Linked DNA regions of Yarrowia lipolytica. Each later gene encodes a partner of the first gene's protein in a complex. Links are inferred from orthologs where the notes say so. Each region holds a gene or a part of one and is shown in the gene's direction. Other genes may lie near its edges. The genes, in order: YALI1_C30399g and YALI1_C31989g.

What was found.
Region 2: YALI1_C30399g (region 1) and YALI1_C31989g share a complex: the UniProt entries of both Saccharomyces cerevisiae proteins name them as parts of the nuclear pore complex. The link is inferred for Yarrowia lipolytica from reciprocal best matches to the Saccharomyces cerevisiae genes NIC96 and NUP49.

Annotation. Positions count from the first base shown.
Region 1 is NC_090772.1:3,037,954-3,043,294, forward strand, and holds YALI1_C30399g (uncharacterized protein), read left to right. Parts: upstream 1-2,044; coding exon 2,045-4,753; downstream 4,754-5,341. Other genes in the region: YALI1_C30392g (uncharacterized protein), read right to left, coding at 1-1,324; YALI1_C30440g (uncharacterized protein), read right to left, coding at 4,906-5,341. UniProt on the Saccharomyces cerevisiae protein: Functions as a component of the nuclear pore complex (NPC).
Region 2 is NC_090772.1:3,197,073-3,201,220, forward strand, and holds YALI1_C31989g (uncharacterized protein), read left to right. Parts: upstream 1-1,828; coding exon 1,829-3,349; downstream 3,350-4,148. Other genes in the region: YALI1_C31971g (uncharacterized protein), read right to left, coding at 1-39, 318-400; YALI1_C32010g (uncharacterized protein), read left to right, coding at 3,944-4,148. UniProt on the Saccharomyces cerevisiae protein: Functions as a component of the nuclear pore complex (NPC).

The DNA of each region.
Region 1 (5,341 bases):
GCTCTTGGAACGGCAATCCCATCAGTCTGCCTTCAGTAGCGGGGCTAGGAATACCATACACCTTGTCCTCAAAGATGTAGTCATCGAGATAGAAGTTCTTGTCCACCAAATTGTCAAAATATCCGGATGGAACCGTATTGTAAATCTTTTCGTACCCTTTCGGGCCATCCCATTTGGTGCCGGTATCTTTTTTCAGCCTGCTCGACTGCTCTCTGTCCCATCTCATCTTGTTGTATCTCCTTATGCTGAGTAGGAACTCAGAATGCAGCACCTGGCCCATCTGGAGCTGATTTGCCACAAAATGCTGAACTGTTGGGCTAACTTCTGTTGTCGCCCTAGGAAACATGACCAGGAATTGGTCCACGGGTCTGGGTGAGGGCGTAGAAGCCACGTCCAGCAGTCCAGGACCTATGAGAGTCATGCGATCATGAGCCACATCTCGCTGAAGTGGATTCAGCTTCTTCCACCACGTTTCCCAGTCACTTCTGGGGTTTCCTTGGGCTCTAAACAAGGCATACAGTTTGTCCTGAAGTCCCGGGTCTCCTTTAGTTCTGTTCTCCAACCACATGTTCTGGTATCTGAACAGTCCAACATTGTCTCCTACCGGCAGCCATCCACAAGCCGTAAAAAAGATGAGTGCGAGGTTGATGAATACATTCGGCAGAAAAGGAGGGGTTTGCTGCTCGAAAACAACATCAAAGTCATAAACCTCCACGCCATCTCTTTTCAGTTGAAAGTATGCCGACCTTGCGTTTCGCCAGAGGTACGTTCGGATAGCGAAATAGGTCTCCAGCACCTCTATATCGTCCGTCGCTTGTTCTTGAAACATCGGTGTCTTTTCTAGGTAGCCCATTTGAAGGTATTCCAGAGCGGTAGTCTCGTCATGTTCGGCCAAGAACTCTTGCACATTCTTCTCGTCGTGATCAAACATGCTGAAATACGCCACAGTAATATCGTAGGCATCCTTGAACTTGGTGGAGGGGTTGTGGTAACCGCCGGCAAACCTCAGCAGGCGTTCCTTCGTGACAGGAGCTCCCACATAACCCACAAACAGAGAATAGACAAGATCATAGATAGAGGTGATGAGCCCCATACGCATGATATCTCGCAGACACTTTTCAACCACAACTCTCATACACCAGGCCCAGTCTGCATGTGTCCACCGCGGTACAAACGTGGTCACCAGTTCCTCGTACACGTCGACAATGATGTATCTGAGCAATTTGACCCTTTTTCTCGTGTCATTGTCGGTTTCCTGATCTGCGTGGCCATTCAGAATGGCTCTCAGAGTGCCCAGATCCGGCCTGTGTATCGTCGGTCGCATGTGTAGGTGGGTTGTGGAGCCGGGAGAGGGGGGGGGAAGTGTATCGGGAGATGAGTTTGAGACTTTGAAGCTTAGATTTCGGAATCAGATGATATTTTTACAAAGAGGAACATCGAGGGGCAAAATGTTTTTGTGCAAGACAATTGGTTTTTGTGAGAGGGGTCTTCTGACTGTGGACAGTCTCAAGACTACAGTATTGTCAAAATGTTTCATTATAGGGTTTCGAGATTTTTTGTGTTGAAAAACTCAAACGGAAAAAGGGGACGATAATGTCCGGCACGAATGTGCTGATTTTCGGTGCGATATATGAGGAGAAAGACGGCGATTGAAATAGGAGGAGCATATATTGTTAGTAATCTGTTTAACTAATCGCGTAGGATCAATATTGGTGGAGTTAGATGGATCATAATGGAACTGACGATGGGGACGTTTTTGTTGGGAAAATAGAAAAAAAGGTTAAGTAAAGCTAACTAATAGGTCCAGTAGCATACCAACAGTGTAGATAGCTTTGTTGACATTGTTGAGTTTATCTAACTATCAATTGTTGATGTACAAGGATGTCTGGAAACGGCTGAAAGCGTAACAGCGTAATGAAATTGCAACTCGGTGTCTCCATCTATATAATTGCTTCTTCTAACTATGTTCCAGACGAGTATCCTATATATCCTGTTCCCCTCAACACGGTCATAATCTGTCACTTATCCTCAAACTCTAAAATAAATGTTTATTTGGTACCACAACACACATTTCGCTACACGCCTACCATCACACATCACAACCATGGCTGAGACGTTGACGCCCTCGGTGGCGCTTTTCAACGAGTTGATTGCGTCGAGCAAGAATCTGCCCCACGCCGCCTCGCACCTGGGCTCAATTCAGCTCGATCTGAGCGAGATCGGCAAGCGAGCAAACTCGTTGCGAGACAAACACTCGGAGGGAAACGACACAAAGGCACACTACCTGCTGGCGGGCAGCGGAATCAACGCGGAGGACATTTATCTGCAGTTGTCGTCGCTGACGCTCAATCCCGGGATCGAGTACTACGACAAGAATGTTGCGGGCATCGACTCGTATCTGCAGAACAAGAAGCAGGACAGCATTCTGGCGGCCATTGCAGACTCTGTACGACTGTCAGCGTCAGATTTTGACCAGTTTCTCAACCAGAACGTGTCCCTCGACTGGGCCAAGCGCAAGGAGCAGATCTGCCAGCACTTTGGCCTGATCCAGAAGGACGACGACAAGAACAACCTCAACAACAACACAACCACCAACACAAACAACAAGCTGACAAAGACAGTCCTGGGGGGCACCTGGGGCGCCGCGAGTCTCGGAAAACTCATCTTGGGCACTCCTGAGATTGGCACTGCTACTCCACGACAACGGCAATTCGCAAAGGCCATTTCGGCGCTCAACAATGCCCGATCAAAGGGCCAGGCCTTCCCCGTGTCCGCAGCTCTTTCCACTGCAGCCGATAACCTCTCTGACGCCAAAAGTCAGCAGCTCAACGATGCATGGGATATTCTGTCGTACATCTCTGGAGAGTCGGTCGAGGCTCCTGCCAAAGAAGGAATCTACAGAAAGATGTACGCTGCTCCTCCCGGCAGCCCCGACGGACTCAAGGTGCGAAAACAGATCTCCCATGGTTCTAAAATGTATCTTGAGCATCAGTTTTACGCCTGTGTCGAGGCCGAGATTGCTAAGTCTCCCCAGGACGCTCTTTTGGGAGGCGTGCCATCAGTCTACAACAAAATCAAAGCTTACTTGAACGTGCGGTACTTCCGAGGAGGCCAATGGACCAAGGAGAACATGGAAATTCTGAACGGAGTGCCCGTTTGGGCTGTTCTTTACTATATGGTTCGATCTGGACATCTTCAGGAGGCTCTCGACTTTACTCTTGAGATTGAGTCGTCGCTCGAGAAGATTGAACGTTCATTCCCCGTCTATCTCCAGGCATATGTCAAGTCTAAGGATCACGTGCTGTCACGTGACATGCATGATCGGATCCTCACCGAGTTTAACCAGCACATTCGGTTCCTCGATGCTCATTCCGATCCTTTCAAGTTTGCTCTGTACAAGATCATTGGCCGATGCGACTTGTCTCGAAAGGTCTTCCCCGAGGTTCTTGAGACTGCTGAGGACTGGCTGTGGGCCCATCTTGTTGTTTCTCGAGAGACTGTGGACGGCCCTCTTCAGGATCGATACACTCTGTTGGACGTGCAGCGAACCGTGCTCAACTTTGGATCCAAGCATTTCAACCCCTCTGGTAAATCTCCCGGTCTCTATTTCCAAATGCTCCTTCTATGTGGTCTTTTTGAGGCTGCTGTCAGTTATGCTCTTACCTTCTGTCCCGTTGATGCTGTTCATTATGCCATTGCTTTGGCTTACTATGGGCTGTTGCGTGTCTCCAAGCCCGAAGATACCGAGGACTCCGATGGCTCATATCTTTCTGTGGACAAGAAGGACCAACAGGTTCTTCATTTTGCTCGTCTGATTGGACACTACACCCGGGACTTCCGACGATCAGATGCTGTTGATGCTGTTGACTACCTTGTTCTGCTGTGTTTCTACCGAGATCAAGAGGACGCTTGTCACGAGGCCCTGCGAGAGCTTGTGCTCGAGACTCGGCAGTTCTCTGTTCTTCTGGGTGACATTAGAGCCGATGGAGCTCGGTCTCCCGGTTGCATTGAGCGTCGGTCCAAGCTCATTGGTCTGGACAAGGACGACTTCCTCACTCAGATCACTGCCCAGGCTGCTCTGCGTGCTGAGGACGACGGTCGGTTCGCTGACGCGATTCTCCTTTATCAGCTGTCTGAGCAGTACGACACTGTCGTGTCTATCATGAACCGAACTCTTGGTGACGCACTGAGCATGATGGACTTTGGAGACTCGAACGTGGAGCCTGCCCAGTCGCTTTCTCTGCTGTCCACCGCGACCAACCCCGCTCAGTTGGCCGCCACCATGCGAGAACTATACACTAACAACCCCCAGATGTACTCGCATGTGTCGCAGCGGAACCGAGATACCTGCGAGATTCTTCTGCAGATTGTGTCTGCTCGGGAGTCGTACTCGCGTGGCCACTGGGCCCATTGCATTGCTGTGATTGACAATATCAATGTGATCCCCATCCACGTTACCGCCGACGTAGGCACCATTCGTCGACGTGCTCAGGACTTTGTGTCTCTCCACGAGTCCACTGCTCGAAATGTGCCCTCGTTGCTGCTCATGACTATGACGTGTTGTGCTGAGTTGGCCCAGAACATCCAGGAGTCCGAGTTCAACGATGCTACTCGGTGCGACCGGCTGGCCGAGCTCAAGGCCCGGTCTCGAAACTGTATGATTTACGCCGGCATGATCCAGTACCGAATGCCTCGAGAGGTTTATTCGCAGCTCACTGCTCTGGACACCAATCTCAACAGTGTTAACATGTAGGGAGAAGAAGACGATATAGATAATTGATTGTATGAATAGCTATTAAAAGTTACGTAGATTGTGACTATTTTTGCGGATAATTTGAGCAAGACAGACCTCTTGAGGCTAGCAATAGAAATGCACGTGATACAGAGTCAATAGTGTGTATTAGATTATTTGGAAGCCTCAAGAGCCTGCTTGAGATCGCCGATGAGGTCATTGGCGTCCTCAACACCAACAGAGACCCGCAGGTAAGCAGGGTTAGTGGTAGCGTCACTCATGAGTCGCCATTCAATCAGCGATTCGACTCCTCCAAGAGAAGTGGCGTGGTTGAAGAACTTGAGCTTGCTGGGCAGAGCTCGGGCGGCTTCTCGAGACTGCATTTCCAGCACGAAAACAGGTCCGTAGCCTCCCACAAGCTGCTTCTTGACAAAGTCCTCGGTCTGAAAGGACGAGTGGTGGACACACTTGAGCGCGGGGAAGTCAGAGAGGTGGTCGGAGAAGTACTTGGTGATGGCGGTGGCGTTATCCGACTGCTGTTTGATTCGCAGCCTGTAAGTTCGAAGAGATCGGAGCAGTAGCCACGATTCGAGGTTTCCGGGACCTGAT
Region 2 (4,148 bases), about 160 kb from region 1:
TGCAGAATCGAGTTCATATCGAGGTACAGATTGTCATATCTGGGTTAGCACGGAAATGTTGTGATGTGGCTGTGGTGGTAACAGTTTTGTGTGTTATTGTGGGTTTGATCTGGCCTGAATCATGTATCGAAACAACATAGAACATTCGACAAGGGCTTTCAAACGATCCTCCAGTCACAAGGCTCTTGTTATACGTTCCTTCAGGTCGTCTAGTGTCGTGGTTTTGGTCATCAGTATGCTGACCGATCAGACACCCCACAATCACCAAACGGTCGTGTTGCCATCTCCAAAAACACCCTCACTGCTCTCATACTCACTCAGGAATCTGTGTATCAATCACTTGTTGGGAAATCAGCGGCCATCGCTCACTGATGTAGCGGAAAAATTTAGGAATACCCATTGATGGTGTATCTGCTGTTGAAAATCAAATCTTGTGATGTGGTGGGATGTAGGGACAAGACACTTAACTTTAAGGGAAACCAAACGACGATAGAATGCGCATAGTGGCGACTATTGGTGGCGGTAGACAGAGAGAAAGGAAGCCTTTGGAAGCGCAGGTATGACTTATTCCGATAGCCGGATGAGATGAAGTGCATCAGATGAACGACTCCCGGCTTATTGGAACCATATGGAACGCCGTGGATGGCTCGATACTACCTTACCCGGCAGTGATGGATGCCTGTCACGTGTCCTACAGCACAACTGCAACATACTGTATCTATATGGTTTGTAGGCTGCTTCAGAAACGTGCCCTACCCATACGGAGGATATGAATCTTTACAGGGACTTGCCTAACCTGGAACTGAGTTATTTCGGGCGAAAAATAGCCGTACACAAGGTTGCATGAAAGGGTTCATCTCGTATGTATGTATTGTAGATACATTGTACGATGCAGTTATTGTTAGTCAGAACGTTACGAGGATTAGCTGTGGAGTTTAGCTGTGGAATTTGACAAAATGTAATGTAGACACTGCATTAACTAACTTGACTGAGAAGTCAGAGTACGTACAGTACTGTAAGTAGAAATGGCTAGGAGAAGGTGACACGCCCTGTACCACCCACAGAACGAAAGCACACATCTATTTCAGACGACATTTGCCACTATTTTGTCTTTTTTCGATCGCGTTGCCCCTTTTTTGAATTTCGATGAGGTTTCCTGGAAGATGCAGGTCTGACAGTGGAGGGAAAGAGTTTCCGTACTGTGCCGAATGTTCACTGTAGTACCTACTGTATTTCCACAAAGTATGGGACTGAGATGGTTCATAGAAAAAAGTAGAGTATCAGTGTATTTAGTTAGTTTCAGCAAACAAAATTATGGAAAAATCACGCTTATAGGGCTATTATTACGAGAGTTGGATAGATGTCATGCTTTCCGCCGTATTATCACGCGAAAGTTTATCGATCTTGGTTCGACTCACATACGGACAATCATACAGAAAATGCAGCAACCAGAGAGAACTCACGGCAATTGGGAGTGAAGCTGGTGACAGAATAGCTCCCCATTTTCCATCAAAACAGTGAATCACAATGGAATGTTCTAGAGCAACCTAAACGCCGGGTATTTCACACGTCGATTACCGCCAGAATAACGAAGAAGGATACGGGAAAAAAAATACTGTAGGATGAACACTGTACTGTAGTCTTTCCTGGTGCTCCCTCCCAACCAAGCTTCAAATTTGAAATTTCAGAGAGATTGACAAGACTGACCCTGAGTTCGACTCCACGACTTCATGAATTTCAAGATAAGGCGTTTAATCGAAATATGTAATTGATGATAGAAAGGAGGCAGTATTGATTTTTTTTAAAGCAGTACTCATCTAAGTAATCTATGGCCTCCGTTACCTGCTGCTCTGTTGTAGTGTTTACACCATCCATCCGCTTACATCCTCAGCCTTGTTGGCTTAATAAGCAAAATTATCAACAGCATGCAGCAAAACAAACCAAACTTTTAGAGACGCCATCACCACACAGATACATCATGTTCGGCAGCACTGGATTCGGACAGAAGCCCGGAGGCTTTGGCGCCGCCAATACCGGCACGACCGGTAACACTGGTGGCGGGTTTTCGTTCGGCCAGAATAACAATTCCAACTCCACTAACACCAACACTGGCGGAGGATTCGGGTTTGGCCAGAACAACACCAATCAGACCAGCAACACGGGCGGTAACACTGGAGGAGGCTTTTCGTTTGGCCAAAACAACAATGCTGGAGCCTCTAACACCGGAAACACCGGAGGAGGACTTTTTGGAGCCAAGCCTGCTGCCACCACTGGAGGAGGGCTGTTTGGTCAGAACACAAACACTGCCGGTACTACTGGTACTACAGGCACATCTGGAGGTTTCTCTTTCGGCCAGAACAACAACAACACCACTTCGAACACAAGCACAACCGGAGGCGGTCTCTTTGGAGCTAAGCCTGCTGCCCCCTCAGGTGGGGGGCTGTTTGGACAGAACACATCCAATACTGCCAACACCGGAACCACAGGCACCACCGGTGGACTTTTCGGCCAGAACAACAACGCCGCTTCTACTAACACGGGCGGCGGACTGTTTGGTGCAAAACCCGCCACCACTACTACTTCAGGAGGTGGTCTTTTCGGTGCTAAGCCTGCTACTACCGGTACCGGCTTTGGAGGAGGATTTGGACAGAACACAAACACAAACACAAATACTGGAGGACTTGGATTTGGTCAGCAACAGCAACAGCAGCAGCAACAACAGCAACAACAGCAGCAATTGACCGTCACTCCTCTGACCAGACCGTCGGATCTACCGGAACATATGCAGAAGGAGTTTGAACAGATCGACGAATACATTCAGCAGCAGGCCCGAATATGCGATGAGCTGTCCACGAACAAGCTGCAGCATCAGGAGATGATCGAGTCGATCCCCCGAGATGCTGAGCTCATCTCCAGAAAGTACATCACTGCTTACGAGGCTCTGGTGCACGACTCCGAAAACATGAACGAGATCAAGACTCGATCAGACATTGCCGCACAAGAGGCGCAGACGTGTTTCAACCTGCTCAGCTACCTGACCAGTCAGACTCCTGGCCGTCTCAACTCCAACCGACCCGCTGGAGCTCCCAGAGAGAACGGCGATCCTCTGCTCAACTACTTTAAGACAAAGTGTGAGGAGTACGAGAAGCGAATTGAGGAGCTGGCAAAGGTGACGGCCGAGGTGGAGGCTGGTGTTGTGGGACTGGAACAAAGCGGACCTCAGAACCCTTCTGTGGTCATTGACAACTTTACCATTTCGCTGGAGGAGCTATACAAGCTGTTCATGGGTCTTGGAAACCGGGTGGCCGAGTTGCATCATGTTGTCGAGCGGCTTGAGCAGCGGAAGTAACTTTGGAGGTGTAGCTACATGATATGTATATTGAAGGAATACTTGTAATTGTAGTTGATTTGGTGTAACGAGTATTTACTACAAGTATAAACGTTGTAGACAATAATAAGGCTACAAGCAGATGAAGACAAGCAAAGTATCACCCCTTAAGGCGAGAGGCTTTTGGTATGGTCAAGCGACTTTATGGAAGTATTGATTCGAGAACACCCCTGTACATACTGTAAAGCTGTAGCTGCCGCATGTAACATATTGCTCAACTGTTCTAACTAACGTTAAGTAAAGTGACAAACTCAAAGTAAGCAAGAATAGCATTATATTTCTTTATATCTGAGAACTCCGGTAACTTGTTAGATAAGTAATAACAACCAGATCACTTTCATAAATTTTTTGGCGTACGTTTCATATTTCTACCGTATCTGGGACACTATTTGCGCCCTCAGTCAACTTTTCCCTAACTAACTCCCAACTAATTCTCTTTCTGCAGCTTAGTCACGTCACTATAATAAAGTTTCGAGTGCATGGGTTTACGTACGTACAGTACGTTGACCATGATGAACATACAGCGATCACAACTACAACGACATACACACAGCCATGAGTCTAGTGCAATCTGCTGAACGAGCAGAGTATCTGAATCTCAACACGGAGCAGCTGAAGCAATTGCATGAGCAGTCCACGCGGTTTCTGGCCGGCCGACACTACAACCTGTCTGATGACGACCGATATGCCCTCTTTGAACAGCACTTTTATCTCGCTCTGCTGGTCGGTGACTCCAGAGAGGCCGAAATAACATACCAGA